Caenorhabditis elegans: one gene and its partner. The protein of the gene in region 1 binds, or shares a complex with, the protein of each later gene. Each region holds a gene or a part of one and is shown in the gene's direction. Other genes may lie near its edges. The genes, in order: calm-1 and tmc-2.

What was found.
Region 2: the proteins of calm-1 (region 1) and tmc-2 are in contact, whole or in part, in a cryo-EM structure (PDB 8TKP), measured with the Caenorhabditis elegans proteins. Residues at the interface, in NP_492514.2 of Caenorhabditis elegans: Ser15 (codon at 3,360), Asp26 (codon at 3,393), Glu27 (codon at 3,396), Tyr28 (codon at 3,399), Gln29 (codon at 3,402), Asp30 (codon at 4,013), Cys31 (codon at 4,016), Thr32 (codon at 4,019), Phe33 (codon at 4,022), Thr35 (codon at 4,028), Arg36 (codon at 4,031), Lys37 (codon at 4,034), Asp38 (codon at 4,037), Pro63 (codon at 4,112), Ala64 (codon at 4,115), Pro77 (codon at 4,154), Glu78 (codon at 4,157), Glu81 (codon at 4,741), Asn82 (codon at 4,744), Pro83 (codon at 4,747), Phe84 (codon at 4,750), Ile88 (codon at 4,762), Val91 (codon at 4,771), Phe92 (codon at 4,774), Ser93 (codon at 4,777), Glu94 (codon at 4,780), Asp103 (codon at 4,807), Asp107 (codon at 4,819), Phe112 (codon at 4,834), Leu118 (codon at 4,852); in NP_001335510.1 of Caenorhabditis elegans: Leu107 (codon at 3,221), Arg108 (codon at 3,224), Gly109 (codon at 3,227), Gln110 (codon at 3,230), Pro111 (codon at 3,233), Trp112 (codon at 3,236), Tyr113 (codon at 3,239), Met114 (codon at 3,242), Lys115 (codon at 3,245), Lys117 (codon at 3,251), Arg118 (codon at 3,254), Leu121 (codon at 3,263), Gln125 (codon at 3,325), Arg154 (codon at 3,412), Asn158 (codon at 3,424), Ile161 (codon at 3,433), Tyr162 (codon at 3,436), Glu167 (codon at 3,451), Ile170 (codon at 3,460), Arg171 (codon at 3,463), Glu174 (codon at 3,472), Ser179 (codon at 3,487), Val180 (codon at 3,490), Thr186 (codon at 3,508), Arg307 (codon at 4,273), Gly308 (codon at 4,276), Thr309 (codon at 4,279), Ser311 (codon at 4,285), Ser312 (codon at 4,288), Gly313 (codon at 4,291).

The regions. Positions count from the first base shown.
Region 1 is NC_003279.8:9,472,142-9,478,096, reverse strand, and holds calm-1 (EF-hand domain-containing protein), read left to right. Parts: upstream 1-3,295; 5' UTR 3,296-3,317; coding exon 3,318-3,404; intron 3,405-4,012; coding exon 4,013-4,165; intron 4,166-4,740; coding exon 4,741-4,888; intron 4,889-5,182; coding exon 5,183-5,400; 3' UTR 5,401-5,455; downstream 5,456-5,955. Other genes in the region: F30A10.11 (Saposin B-type domain-containing protein), read right to left, coding at 1-232, 578-619; F30A10.14 (Saposin B-type domain-containing protein), read right to left, coding at 1,114-1,368, 1,419-1,466; skr-1 (Skp1-related protein), read right to left, coding at 5,774-5,947.
Region 2 is NC_003284.9:9,301,241-9,310,492, forward strand, and holds tmc-2 (Transmembrane channel-like protein 2), read left to right. Parts: upstream 1-2,483; 5' UTR 2,484-2,541; coding exon 2,542-2,682; intron 2,683-2,984; coding exon 2,985-3,067; intron 3,068-3,126; coding exon 3,127-3,267; intron 3,268-3,317; coding exon 3,318-3,582; intron 3,583-3,866; coding exon 3,867-3,989; intron 3,990-4,041; coding exon 4,042-4,187; intron 4,188-4,253; coding exon 4,254-4,351; intron 4,352-4,399; coding exon 4,400-4,614; intron 4,615-4,658; coding exon 4,659-4,774; intron 4,775-4,828; coding exon 4,829-4,966; intron 4,967-5,113; coding exon 5,114-5,383; intron 5,384-5,428; coding exon 5,429-5,624; intron 5,625-6,007; coding exon 6,008-6,065; intron 6,066-6,113; coding exon 6,114-6,363; intron 6,364-6,510; coding exon 6,511-6,636; intron 6,637-6,683; coding exon 6,684-6,762; intron 6,763-6,857; coding exon 6,858-7,297; intron 7,298-7,419; coding exon 7,420-7,524; intron 7,525-7,576; coding exon 7,577-7,693; intron 7,694-7,768; and 15 more. UniProt on the Caenorhabditis elegans protein: Probable ion channel.

The DNA.
Region 1 (5,955 bases):
AACAGAATTTGAAGCATGCCATTTTCTTTATGTCCATAATGAATGGATACATTTTTGGGTACGATGAAGTCAAATCGGCTGCGTTTACAAGCCCTATACATGCAGATGCTGCGTCTCCACTTTGCGCACATCCCGTTCTAAGAAGTGATTGAGCATCATTCCAGTTGTCTGGAACTTGAATGAGTCCACTGCAAAACATACAAAGATTGCCAAGTTGGGCGTCAGAACCAATCTGAAAGCATTAGATTTTTGAAAATTTCGGTACACTGCCAAATTTTTGAATTGGAAAATTGCATGTTTTTTTGAGAAATTTAGAGCAAATCCGCATTTTTGAACACTACAAGATTAAAGCAAAAATATTTCAAATAAAATACAGGTGTAAAGTTAATAGAAATTTGTTGTTTTTTCGTAAATATTCAAAATTATGATAGATGAAAACTGAGAGATTTATCCTTTTTGACTATGGGTGAAAAATTCAACAAAATGTTGATAAGTTGTATTATAGGATAGATTTCCAACAATTACATCACTCTTATATTCAAATTTAGACAGTTCTTGAAATTTTAAAATGACTTACCACAAGAGCGGAGATGAAGAGGAAAACGAAAAGAAGCTTCATTGTTTTTTCGAAGGAAACCGTTTGGAAGAATACAATTTGAGCAGACTTTTTCTCTTTTATTTCGAGACACCATGAGAACCGAAATCAGTTCCCTTCTTTCAAGAAACCGATATGGGAAACATAGTTTTGGTTCTCTTGTGATCTTGCTGAACAGACGCTAGGAAAAATACAAATTCTTGGATTTTTGGCAAGTCGCCAATTTAATAAAAATTTTGCTTCGACAATTTTCGTTGGAAGTTTTACACTGGAATATCGAGCAATATACATAAATGTTTCTTATGTTATCATAACTTACTAATAAATTAAAGCGTTTCAAAAACGCGAAAATTTCAAAAAATTTACAACTGTACTCCTTTCTGTTTTCCTGTTTTCCTGTTTCCCGAAAATTTTAATTTCTGGCAAATCGGTAAATAGACAAATCAGCGTTTTTTTAAATTATCGGCAAATTTGACTAACCGACCCCAAATTTATTCTGAAATATGTCACAAGTTCAATTATAGTGAACAATACTCCTTTTTATATTTGTTACAGGCCATGTTCTTCATTTCCACAAGATAGGGATACACATTTTTATACGAAGATTCATCCATTTCAGCTGTATCAACAATTGCTTTACACTCCACTTTTCCAATTGTAAGCCATCTGCACACACTTCTGAGCAGAACTTGAAACTGATTCCAAACTGTTGGAACTTCTAATTCTCCTGTGCAGAATTTACATACTTGCGAATATGCTGTTTGCGCAAAGATCTGAATATCAATTACTTTCATATTTCTCAAAAATTCAACAAATTTCTTACCGGATTGAATAGAGAGAGAATGAACAAGCAGGGTATGATCGGTTTCATTTTTTTTTGAAAATAACTTGTGGTATGATGATATTTTTAAATTCCATTTATATAATTTTATAGAAATAATTTTGAAAAGAATGTTTTATGATTCACATTTCCTTTAGAATACTTTACAAAATATTTGTATAACAATTTGAAAATTTCCACATTAGGTGTTTACAGAATTGCCAACACGTTTCGAATTGATAATCAAAATCTTCGGGGTTTCGGGCTTCCAAATAGGCGTTTGAAGCCTTACTTCTTGAGCATTTTGTGGAAGACTATCTGAAGATGACATCGAAATTTTTGAACGAGAATCTTTTTACTTGAAAATCCAAATAAATATAATGCTTAATTAGGAATTTTCAGCTGTAAAATTCGACAACATAATTTTTATTAGCCATTCAAAAAATTATATAAGTAAAATGATGCGGTTCAATCGATTCACATTCTCCAATTCATTTTGCGATTGCGAGCGCTTAGGTATAAAAATCAGGAAGACGGACGAGACTCGGCTTGCTCTTTTGTGTTAGATAATGTATCTTCTAAACTAAATGCTTGCCTGATGAATGAATGCATCCTGTTTTTCTGTCCGTTTTTCTTCTGAATTTTTATTTGAACTCTGGTGTTCTTTGTTTGCATAGTGTTGGCTTCAATTATTTTGTCGAAAGATCTGTTCACATGTTTTTTGTAGGTTACAAGGTGGTCACATTTATTGCAATCTTTTTAGTGTCTACTAGGAAAGCCTTATACTAAAATTTCGTGAAAGGAAAATGTGTTCTGAATGACTTCACAATGACCACTAAAAGAGCATGAATCTCCAAAAGCTATAGAATTCGAAAAGGTTTCAATTTAATTTGGTTGAAACGAGAGTATTCATGCGGAATGAAACACGCTCTGCTACTTCCATCAACCTAATTTGCCGTGCCAATTCTTTCAGATTTACAAAAAGTCAATATCTAGGAATATACTTCTTCGAATTTCATTTTTGAGTTAGTGAACTATATGTTCCTACGCTCCAAGTTAAAGTATTTTAAATTTTGAATTAATTATCCTAATACTTAAAAGCTCTAAATTGAACAAATCGATACATTTTTCATCGAGATGTTGCAGTATATACCACTTACTTGCATAAATATTTTTTAAGTCCTAACTTTTTTGATAATTTGGCAATGTACTAAAAACAAAAATTTGATTGGAAATTTTGGAAACCTAAAACATTCCAAATTATTTAATTGAGATATAAACTTTTTGGTCTATTTTGAGTATGCTGTAGTATTTGCTCCAGCAGTGTTAATCCATTTTTCAAAAATAAACTTCCTCGTGATCCTGAAGGCGTGAAAAACAAAAATTGATAATTTTCTTATGTTGAATTTTAATAGATTTAACAATCAGAGAATTTAATTTTTAAACCACAGAAGAAAAATAACTGAGTTGGACATTCCCATGATCATCTTGAGAATCATCACCTATCCACATATGTATTCCCAACTCATCTGCGTCTCTAATTTTTATGTGTCATCGTTTAGTCTCTATGGGGGCCCCCATCTCCCATTTCTTCTCTCCCATAGACCCGGTCCCTCCGTGCCTTCTTCCTGCTCTTTCTGCATCTTCTTCTTCGCCTTCTCCCCCCGTGGCCTCCCGTCTAATGTTACACCATTTTCTGACTCTAAACCTCCACAATTTGTATACTATTTTCTGGTTTGTCTGCCACCCCAAACCCATTCTCATTTCCTCCTCGATTTCCGTGGGGCCAGGGGGCTCACCGAACAAAACTTTATTTTTAACAATAGGCAGTGTCTACTTTTTTTTCAAATACTTTCAGACAACTTTTGAACTAAAAGTAATCATTTCAGATCAGGTGACCAGATGGGAAACAATGCAAGTTCATTGTCAGAACTAAACCTTTTTTCAAAAGGAGGAGTCTTTACAAGAGAACAATTAGATGAATATCAAGTATGTTTTTATTTTTATTTTAAAAATTTACATCTCAAATTAAAATTGTAATTATAAAATGGTACTTGCATTACATTATTTTGCCATTTACCTCAAAAACTATCAAAATTCCTGAAAATTTTCAAACTATACTAGTAATCTTCAAGGAAAACATCATTTCTTGTCTACAATAAATAATAATGCCTTTTAACTTATTCGCTGAATTTTTGAATTTTTGGCAAAAACATAGTTGCAGGTCTCGAAAAGACTGGAAGATCTGATGAAAATTGATAAAGAGTAAGAACTACAGTACTACTTAAAGATGCATAACATATTCCGCATCCCTAATGTCGGCTCAAAATACTCATAATTTCGCTAATGAGCTCCACCTCGCACTTTCAGGAGCTTCCTCTAGCAGATTTTCGATCACTCACATTTAAATGAAAATATTTATTTGTTTGATTAATAATTTTATTAGTTGAAAAAAAGTCATCTTGCTACGAAGAATCTCGTTCAAAACGCTCATTTCTTTGAATTCCTCGGAGCACGTCCATTTTCTCAAAAAGAAGTGTACAAAGTGGCAGCCATCCATAAATCAAAATGAGAGTTTGTAGAATATCTCTTTTCAGGATTGCACATTTTTCACGAGAAAGGACATAATTCGACTATACAAAAGGTTTTATGCATTGAATCCACATAAAGTTCCAACAAATATGCAAGGAAATCGGCCTGCAATTACAACGCTGACTTTTGAAGAAGTTGAGAAAATGCCAGAATTAAAGGTACGACTTTTTTGTTGAAACATATTCTTGATTTTCAATTTGAACTTCTATTGCTAAGTTTGCAACTTTTATTTACAAAAAAGTGAAAGTGTCTTTATCGTAATAAAATTGGGAAAATGCAGTAATCCTACCGTGGCTATCAATAATGTTTTCCTCAAGTTACAGATTATTGCGTTTTTATTCTGAAAGTACGGTACCGACTCTGGCCAAATAATTTTGCACGCGCAAATGAATGTGCGCCTCTAATTACCGTAGTCAACTATCCGTTATTTCGCATTTTTCTTCATGTTTCCCGCGCTTTTTCTCTCACTTACATAGAATTTGCAATTATTTAAATTTTAAATAAGTTTTTTTTTCAAGAGAATAATGTTTTTGACAGAAGAAAACGCTGGCAAATATACAAAAATGCATAATTGGTTACTGTATCACTGTATTATAGGCTTACACTGTTTTTTCGCGATTTGAAAATATTTTGTTCGTGACGAGAGCGGGTACCATAGTACTCTTCGGGGGAAATATCAAAAATCTATATATCGGCCACATCAACTTGATGTGATACAATAACAAACTTTCAGGAAAATCCATTCAAACGACGAATCTGTGAAGTTTTCTCCGAAGACGGACGCGGAAATTTATCATTCGACGATTTTTTGGACATGTTCTCAGTGTTTTCGGAAATGGCACCACTCCAGTTAAAACTGAAATATGCTTTCAGAATTTATGGTAAGGAAGAGATTAGACATAAAATCATTTGATATTAACAATCCATAAAAGTTATATGGTTCTTATTACGTAGACGTCCATAGTTGCGAATTTTCACCACAATTTACGCGCAACGTCTCGCCATTCCGGCAACGGGTTACTGTAACTCGCGTAAATAAATTGTATTATATCATATTGTTATTTTAACAATCATGACATAAATTTTGCATTTATATCTGATAAAATTATATTGCAATAGCGGTCCTTAGAGGTCTGCGTAATAATATTTAATTTAGTATCAAAATATTGTTTTAGATTACGATGGAGATGAACTTCTTGGACATGATGATTTGAGTAAAATGATTCGAAGTTTAACAAGAGATGAGCTGAGTGATGTAGAAGTTGAATTTATAATTGAACGAATTATTGAAGAAGCTGATTTGGATGGAGACTCGAGTATAAACTTCGCAGAATTTGAACACGTTGTCTCTCGATCACCTGACTTCATTAGAACTTTTCATATCAGAATTTAAATACATTCACGGGTTATATTTTTTTCAATGTTTTACATAAATCGTTTGTTTTTTGTATCGTCTCATCAACTTTATTTTTAGGCATGTACAATCACGTAAAGGACACACTGATGTTCATTGGAGGAAATGTGTGAGAATCTCACACTGCATAATTTTTGCCGGTCGGTGATTTATAGGTATAAATATAGAATGGCGGTTAAAATTCAAAAGATGCATTTTAATTAGGTGAAAAAAGGAAGAAGTTTTTGGGCTGCCAGAGATGATGTAAAAAATAGACAGAGACCATATCAGGACAATGTGTGAAGTGTGAAGGGGAAGGAAGCGACATGTCGTTTAGAAATGTAATAGAGAAATAGGCAAACTGAAGGGTAATTTAATCCTCGCACCAGGCATTCTCTTTGCGGATTTGCTCTTCCTCTTCCGGGGTGAAGTCGTTCTTGATGTTGAAAGTGCGACGAATCTCTTCTGGAGATTTTCCCTTGATCATGTTAGCAACAGTCTTGCAGGTAACATCAAGAAGTCCCTTGATGTCCAAATAGTTGGCAGCCTAAAAAT
Region 2 (9,252 bases), on another chromosome or scaffold:
TCCTTTAAGGTTACCAATTTTAAACTCTCTCTCTCAGTCAGATTTGTCCATTTTTTCATCTACATAATTACTTCATTGCTCCTCCTGAACTCTATTATTTTCACGAAAAACCCTCTTAATTTCCGAAGACCATCAAAAACATATAAATCTCAAATGACCGAATCATCCTCTCATTTCTCAGTTGTTAACACACCTATGTGTTACCTTGTGTTAGCTGGCACCTTTTGACACATGTTCCGTCCTTGATTAAGCTCGGATAAAAGTTCTTGATACCAATTGTACTTTGGGAAAGTTTCATTAAAATGTATGTGTAATATCTGTCTTGATTGGTTCCTGTTCATACACACCGCTGTTCTTTTAGATAATGAAGATGTATCTATCTTCTCAACTTGATTTTTAAAGAACGTAGTCATTATGTTCTTTTTTTGTAACCTCTAACCTTTTGTTGTCTCATTCTCGAGATTGGAAAAAAGTATCGAAAATTTGCCAACAAATCTAAGTTTTTGAAACAAGTTCCACGTTAGAAACTCATCACCAACAATAACAAATTTCTTCTTTTCACCCAATCCGCCACATTTTGACATGCGCTCAGTATGACAAGCTTAAAAGAAAAACACGAGTAGCATTCTGAAACGAGGATTGAACGTACGGATTGCTATAACAAGTTTGATCAAGAGCAGAGACTCTATATCTCCTGCTTATCTCTCGACAATGGTGTCCGTCCACCGGCAGAATGAGAAGAAGCATTTGTCGGGGAAGAGGATGTAACTAGCGTTGGTTCGGTGGGGGGAGATATTGCTTTGAGAGGAGAAAACGAAGGTTGACAAGAAGAGTTGAGCCTGAAGATAAAGAAGAACACCACATTTTTGTTTGATTGTCACATCCGACCGGACTACTACTTTTTTGCGTAATTTTTAGATTGTATGATTTTCTCTAATTTCACCTCTATCGAATTGCACCTGACCTTTCCGACACTTGAGAGATATGTTGTTCTTATTTTCTCTTTGAAAGTCCAAAAAGTTCGAGAGATCGCATTTCACACCATGTCCCTCAAGAAATGTTTCTATTATTCTTATCCCAAAAATTTGAAACATGAAGGAGTTTTTTATATTTTAAAACATATTTTGTATATTGTTTTTAGTTAGATTAAAAAAACATATGTTGTTGCTGCAACAGTTAGAAGTTTAAGTATTTATTCTCTGTTTCATCTTTAAAACAGATACAAATTGTTACAATTTTTACGGGTCCTTCTATGTGTATTAAATAATTGTTTCCAAAAACAAACAACATTGAGGGAAATTAAGATGTAAAAAAATAAAATAGTGGAATTGTCAAATACCATATTAAGACACCTTGCCATGTTGACACTTGATATTAAGAAATATTCAACAAATTCTCCTTTTTAAGTACTATATAATTCATTATGTGTGTACTAATTAAGTCAGGAAATTTAGAAAATACTTTTATACTTGTAAAATTATGAAAAACATGAAAATATGGTGTAAACCGTTTTTTTTAAATTCAAACCTCTTCACTTTTTACGTCTTCATTTCTCGACATTTAAAATCTCTGTTTTAACTCAAAAATTCACTTAGGATTCGAACTAATTGTTAAAAAAGAAAACATTAAAAACTAAATGGAACAACGAAGATCTTTATGACACTGATACTCAAATTTTACATCCCCTCTTAAGTTTACGACCCCTCTCCTCCTTTCCACTGCTCATTTCCTCCGCAAATGTTTTCCTAGCGATGTTCGTTTTTTTTTTTCAATTCAGACGTGCTCAATTGCGAACTTCTTACTCGCGAATTAGATCGGCAATCTGATGAGTATGTTTTGCTCTGTAGATTGGCCTCGAAAAAGAAACCGCATCAACAAGAGATTGAGACAGACGGTGGCTTGTGTTATTTGCCATCGACATCAAAATCAAACGTGAGGTGGTTGCAAACTCATCTCCAATTTGCTCTTTTCTCATCAATTGTTATCAATATCCTTCCCAGACCCGTCGTCTTTTTTCTCCTTGGCCGACGACGAGTCAAAGGCAAAAAATGTGTCTTTGCTCTGTGTTTCTTGCGTGTCTTCTGTCACAGACTACTCTTCTGTGTGCTTCTTTTCGGTCTCCAACCCGCAAAAATTTCATTCATTACATCGCTTGTTGCATTTCGAGCACCTCCCGCTGGCCGCGCTCACTATCACTTGTTTCATATCACAATTTTTACATAATGTGGCTCACACCAGACACATGGCCCGCGTCATCCACCACCATCAGATAACCGCTCTTTTCCATCTTGTTAAGTTTCTCAGACGCGCAAAAAATGACTTCACTCCGTCAATTGTCTCCGTGTTCTCTCTTAAACGTTTGCTTTTTTCTAATCATATCGCAATCGCCATTACTCACAAACCACTTCCGATCCGCAATCTTCCCGTTGTCTTTCTATGAGAGATTTAGTGCTAAAAATAAATAATATTATTGATCATCTAAGAAGCTGTCAACTGGACGCATCGAGCAGTGGACGCCGGCGTGCAGTCATCTAAAGCACGATGCCGAAATCAGGCGCTCATCAGCCTCTGGTTCGACATGACACTGATGATGGTGGGGAAACAGGACAGTCCGTTAAGTCTCTAGCGGATGTTTCTGAAGAGGAAATTGATAGTCGAATGAGTAGAAGATCGTCAGTTATTGTACGTTTTCAAACTCGCTTTGTAAATTCTTGACAATTATGCAGTATTTTATAAATAAAAATTATTTAAAAAATGAATTACAATTTCGTAAAAACTAGAAGTGAAATAAACGTTTAGTTTTCATTTGTTAAGACAAAAACGTATGCTCTTGAAATTCACAGAAACAATCAAGGTGTATAAAAACTATCAATTCAAAAATTATATAGTATTGCTCTGAAGTTGTGAAAGAGTAAAAATGTTTCCAAGTCCAGATTATAACAGCTAACACTTGTTTCATATATTTAAATTAATTTGATTTTCAGGCTGATCTGCTTTCTCTTTTTCGCCGTTCCTCCAGTGTTCTTGTTCGACCACATACACGATTAGGAAATCCCAATTTTGACGAGTGAGTTTTCCAAAAAATTTATTCACTTTCCAGCATTTTGTTCAATTTTCACATTACAGTGACGATGACGAATTCGACGAAGAAGACGACAAAGAAGCTTCGAAAGATAGGATACTCAAGAAAATTCAACAAAAGAAAGAAATTATACAAAAATTACGTGGCCAGCCGTGGTATATGAAAAGAAAACGGCGGACGTTGAAGTAAGACCGCTATGAACATTTGAGCGAAACGTCAAAATCGGAAATTTCAGAGTAGCACAAAAACATCTACAACAGCAAGAAGCAAAAGTCTCGAAAGCAAGATTATACAAAGCAGAGGCTGGTCGAAGATTGACACAAGCCAGTCGATGGTTGGATAATCTCAAAATTTATTTGATACCCTGGGAAGCAAAGATTCGAAAAATTGAAAGCCACTTTGGATCAGTTGTGTCGTCATATTTTACATTTCATCGATGGGTTCTCGGAGTTAACATCACAATCACATTTATTATGTGTATGTTCGTAGTTATACCTGAGGTGAGCTTCTACAAGCTTATAAAAACTTCAACGCTTCAAAAATAGGGCCTCCAATTTTGAACTAAAGAAAAGTTTGATGTACAATAAATGCGGGAATTGTTCGCCCGGAAAAATTTGACGTCAGCACGCTTTTAATCATGCTAAATCAGTAAAGGAATTCGCGTCTAGAAGCGTCTAAATTCCAGCAGTTTTTGATGATCAAGCCAAAATAGAACATTCTGACGTGCACGAGATTTTTTAATGATGATATGTCTTGGTTTTACACCTCAGATTATAATTTTCAGTGGCTCGCCGACTCTCGAACTCAATTCGGTGATGACAGATACAATAAGACAAAGGCCATCAAAGTAATGCCACCAGCTGTTCGTGCTCGTGCCGACGAGCTATCCACAGTCTGGGACTTTGGGGTGAGTTGTAATGATAACAGATAAAACCAATGTTCAATGGTTTTTTTTTCAGGGCTACTTTCAATACTCTTTATTATTTTACGGTTTTTACTCGAAAGAAACGTTTTTCGGAGAAACAATCAAATATCGTGTTCCAGTGGCTTATTTTTTCTGCAACATTTTTATTCTAGGATTTTCACTTTTCATCATCTTGAGGAAGTGAGTTTGAAAAAAAAAAGAAAATCAGATAGAACAGAAAAAAAAACAAACTCGTCCTAATTAAAGAATGGCGGCTAACAATCGTCGTGGGACCTTATCATCAGGAAAAACGCAACAGTATTTATTCAATTGGAAAGCTTTCACAGGCTGGGATTATACTATAGGTGAGCGTTCAGTTTTTTCGAGATTAATTTTATATTCTGAAAATTTAGGTAATCCTGAAACTGCTGGAAATGTCTATATGGCAAACGTTATAAAATTTCGTGAAGCAATAAACGATGATAAACAAAAGCCAAGTGACAAACATCCCTGGATTCGGTTTGTAGCACGTGTTCTTACAAATCTTTTCATTTGCGCAATGTATGTGTTCTCAATATGGGCCATTATGCAATGCGGAACTTTGAAAGGAGAACACTTTTTTGCGCAGGTTAGTAGTTCTTAGATGCTCAATAACACTATTAACTTATTCAGAATGCCACTGCTATAACCATTTCTCTCATTACATTAGTTTTCCCGAATATTTTTGATCTGCTGGGTAAAATTGAAAAGCTACACCCGAGAAATGCATTGAGGTTCCAACTTGGAAGGTATGTTTCAAAAAAATTTGAGCTTATGGAATTTGAGTAGAGGAATTTTTTCAGAGTGCTTGTTCTATACATTCTGAATTACTACACTCTGATTTATTCATTGATGTTGCAATTGGAGCATTTGCAGAAAGAGAAAAATGCCTCTGATAATCCAATTTCTGCACTTGGCCATCCAGGAGATGCAATAGGAAGGTTCGTGAGGTTACGCTTTTAATTAAACGGTTTCAAATAATTTATTGTAGTATGATAAGAATGGTTTGACTATTCTTTTTTTTTAAATAAAAAAACAGGAAACCGACGCTGCATACCTACAAAAGTCACTGATATAATTTATTCCAGAACAATACGTGAGACAGTGTTGCCTCGATATCCGGTAGACAACAATCCCCATACATACTACTCCTACGCCCCAGTTACAACAACTCCCATCCCTGCAACCAGTTCGTGGACAACTGTGCTTCCCGACTTTGGACCATTTGGAGTGTATAACCCGAAAGCATCAGTCACTAAGGACGATACAGTTTTCTCTTCTCCAGTTGTAGAAACGCACATGTTTGGACCAAACTCAGACTGGAATGAGACAACTGTGAATGCAGCAAGCCCAACGGGGTAATATAATTATTTGTTTTCTAATTGTAGGCATAACTTTTACAGAGCCACAACACGTGCATCACTCCGTATGTCTCAAGGAGGTCTTTGTTGGGAAACAATCATTGGCCAAGAAATAACAAAACTTGTGACAATGGACTTGTACATGACAGTCGCTTCAATTTTTCTGATTGATTTTCTTCGTGGTTTGGCATGTCGATATTTGAATTTATATTGGCCATGGGATTTGGAGAGAACATTTGTGAGTTTTTAAATTAATTTAGTCTGTATTGATTTGCTGTGTTTAAAGGGGCTCAAGACCATACCAAGTTTGGTGTTTCTGAAGTGTTAAGGACTTTTGGGCGATAAATAACTTAAAATATGGATTTTATTCTCTTTGCACATTGAAAATTGCTGTGACATTGGCAAATAGGTAAAATTTCAAATTTTAAATAATTTTATTTTAACTTATCATTTCTTAGGCCGTCATAACTTTTTTGAGAATTTTTCAATAAGTTTCATTATGAAATAGGGTGTTATTAGACAATTTTGATTCTAATAAAGCAATAAAAATAATTCGACTACACCATCTTTAACCACTGCTCACATACTTTTATTCAACATTTTATACATTTAAAATTTCAGCCTGAGTACGGAGAATTCAAAGTTGCTGAAAATGTGCTTCACTTGGTAAATAATCAAGGTAGGACAGATCAAACATTGTCTGCAAATATGCTGTTGCGTTTTTAAGGAATGATATGGCTCGGGCTCTTCTTTGTTCCACTTCTCCCAATGCTGAATAACATAAAATTGATTATCTTGATGTACATTCGAGGATGGGCTGCAATGACGTGCAATGTTCCGGCCAGTCAAATCTTTCGTGCCAGTCGTTCGTCCAACTTTTTCTTTGCACTACTAATACTGTTCCTATTCCTCTGTACACTTCCAGTCGGATTTGTTATAGCTTCAAAAACTCCGAGTAAAAGTTGTGGTCCATTTGGGTAAGAGTTTGATAAATTAAAACTTCAAATAAGTTTAATAAAAATTCAATATTTTTACATCTGTATTTTAAAGTACATCCTTAATATAAAGAAAATTGGGCTTAGCGTATATTTTTGAAGGTTCCCAATCACATATACGAATTTCAGAAATCAATCATTCTTCTACAGTGTCATTACTGATGTTCTTCATGAAAACTTAGACAAAACCCTTGTTAATGGTATCAAGTACAGTTTGTCTCCAGGAATCATTATTCCAGTTTTAGTACTGTTGTCGTAAGTTTTAAAACATTTGTAAATTTTTAAGTAGCTAAAAATTCCAGACTGGTTATATATTTCCTCATTGCAATGGTTACCGGATTATCACAAGCTAATCAAGACCTGTCATTTCAACTTATGGTGGTATGATTTTTAAAATTGTTTTATCAAAATTTAGTCCTATTCGAAATTTGACTGTCAAATGTAATGCAATGAAACATCACACTGAACATTTCCAGGAACGGACAGAAGAGAAGAAAAAAATCTTTGAGCTTGCCGGGGGAAAGAAGAAAAAGAGCAAAGACAACACATTTGGAAAACAAAAACCAAAACAATTACTACCCCCACCAACAAAAGGAGTTTCTTCTGATGATGATTCCCAGCACAATAGATCAACTGCTAAAAGTGTATCAGGTCGCCAATTTGTACCTTCATTAGGATCAGTATCAGAAGTTGATCACAGCACCGGTGAAGAACAATCTTCTGATAGTGAATCAACAACATCGTCGCTTCCGCCAAAGTTATCTCTTCGTCAGAGGTTTTTAGTATGCATTGGCTGGGCTGATCCAAATAAATATGGGCGACATGATGATATTGAAATGGAAGAAGGTGGTGGAAGGCTTCGAGAATTATCAACTGGTTCCGAAACAGATTCAGATGATGAGGATAGCGAAAAGAGGTAGTTTTTTTTATTCATATTTGCTTTTTTTCCGGGCCATTTTTTTAAAAGTAGTTTTCTTAGAAAAAATTTGTACTCGGATTTAAGTGTCACGTAGTTCCTCTAAAAGTTAATATTTTCAGAAACTCCGAAAGCAGATATCTTCTGCCACCCGACGGTTCTCGTCCAGCATCTAGAGAACGATCAGAAAATCCAAGTAAACGAAGCTCACAAAGTAGAAGAACAAGGCAAGCATCAATTATCACAGCAATCACTATTTACAAAATAATTATTTTTCAGTAATCGTGACATGTCCTACCGTACAGCTATCCAATCATTCGATCAAAACTCACAATCCGCATCAGCGTCTTCATCAAAATCTACTACTACTGCACCGTCCAATTCTGAAATGAGAATGTAAGTTTGATTGAAGGAAGACGTTTGGTTTGAATATTGTGAGAAGTTTTCGAAACGAGCACTTTTAATTTGCAGTGAGATCACAGAAAATCCACTTCACACTTACATCACACCTTTGCGAATTGAGAAAAAGTTTGTTATTGGTTTTATAACTGCTCTTATCACCTATGTTATACATTTTAGGAGCTCTGCTAGTTCATCAAGTAGCTCGCATCAGCCATCATCTTCAATTGAGAAACAAGCTGCAAGGAGGCTTCTGCAGCCAATTAGTACAACACACAATATTCGATATGGGTAAGGAATAACAATAACTTTTGGAAACCTGTTTTCACGACTTGATATTTTCAAATATACATTTCTCATTCAGTGCCTGAAATTAGCATTTAAAAAATATTATATCACTTTCTGAGCTACAGTATTATCACTACGAGCTTCACTTTGTTCGTTCATTGTTTTGTTCTGGATTTTTTTACTGATCGTATTTTTATTTCAAATGGTTGGCAGTACGTGATCAGAGACACGAAACAGGAAAATACATCACGTTTTGTGAAAAAAGACCTTTCAGATTCGATATTAGGTTTTTGACCGGCAAAAATACTTTGGTAGCTTAAGATAATCATTATAAATATTTTCAGAGTTGCTACGGTAGAAAACTCTTCCCAAGATCCAACTCGTCCTCCATCAACAGACGATTCACTTGGCGATCCTGCACTTCATGAACCACTATGGGCAAATCTGAATCCTCACAGCAGGTAGAAATGAAAAACTATATTGAAACTTTATCAATTTACCATGATTTCAGCTACACCTCTGCAATGATGTCTCCAATTATGAATGAGGTTATGTCAAATGATGAGACAACTGATGACGAGAAAGGGCGTTTGATTCCTGATAGGTAGGAAATCAGCAATACATTTTCTAATTAAACATATCGTTACATACCTTTTGCAATGTGTTAAATTAACAACTTCAGACCACCAATCCCACATTCACCAAGAGAGTTGAAAAGACTAAAACGTGAAAAAGATCAGCAATCAGAGAGCGGAAGTAAGCCGAGTGTAAGAACAAGTTGTCGTGAATACTATTTAAAGATATTGATGTTTCAGACTCCTCGACCACCTCGGTTTAGGATATCTATGTCACCTCCACGAAAGCCGCCTTCCGAAAAGAATGTAAGTAATTGGGAATAATGAAACAAAACTAGTTGTATTCATTTATTTTCAGGACTCTGACAGTTCGAATCGCAAGTATGAAATGAGAGTCGAAAAGTCGCCGAAAAAACCAAAAAAATCGGATAATGATTAATTTTTGTTGTCTTCTAATTTCATAATTAATTACTGGGTAATGTCCTATACCTTGGCTGGTCTTTCACATTTTCTATTGTTTTATTTTTAAATTTTAAAATCGTTCATACTTGGTGGTTTTTCAATGCCAATGCATTTCCAAACATTGGCGACAGAGTCTGTGATGTACATTTTTTAAACATGATGAATAAACATTTTTCATTCATTATTTTATTTTGTCTGCAAAATATACAATAATGGAAAAAAGCAAATTGT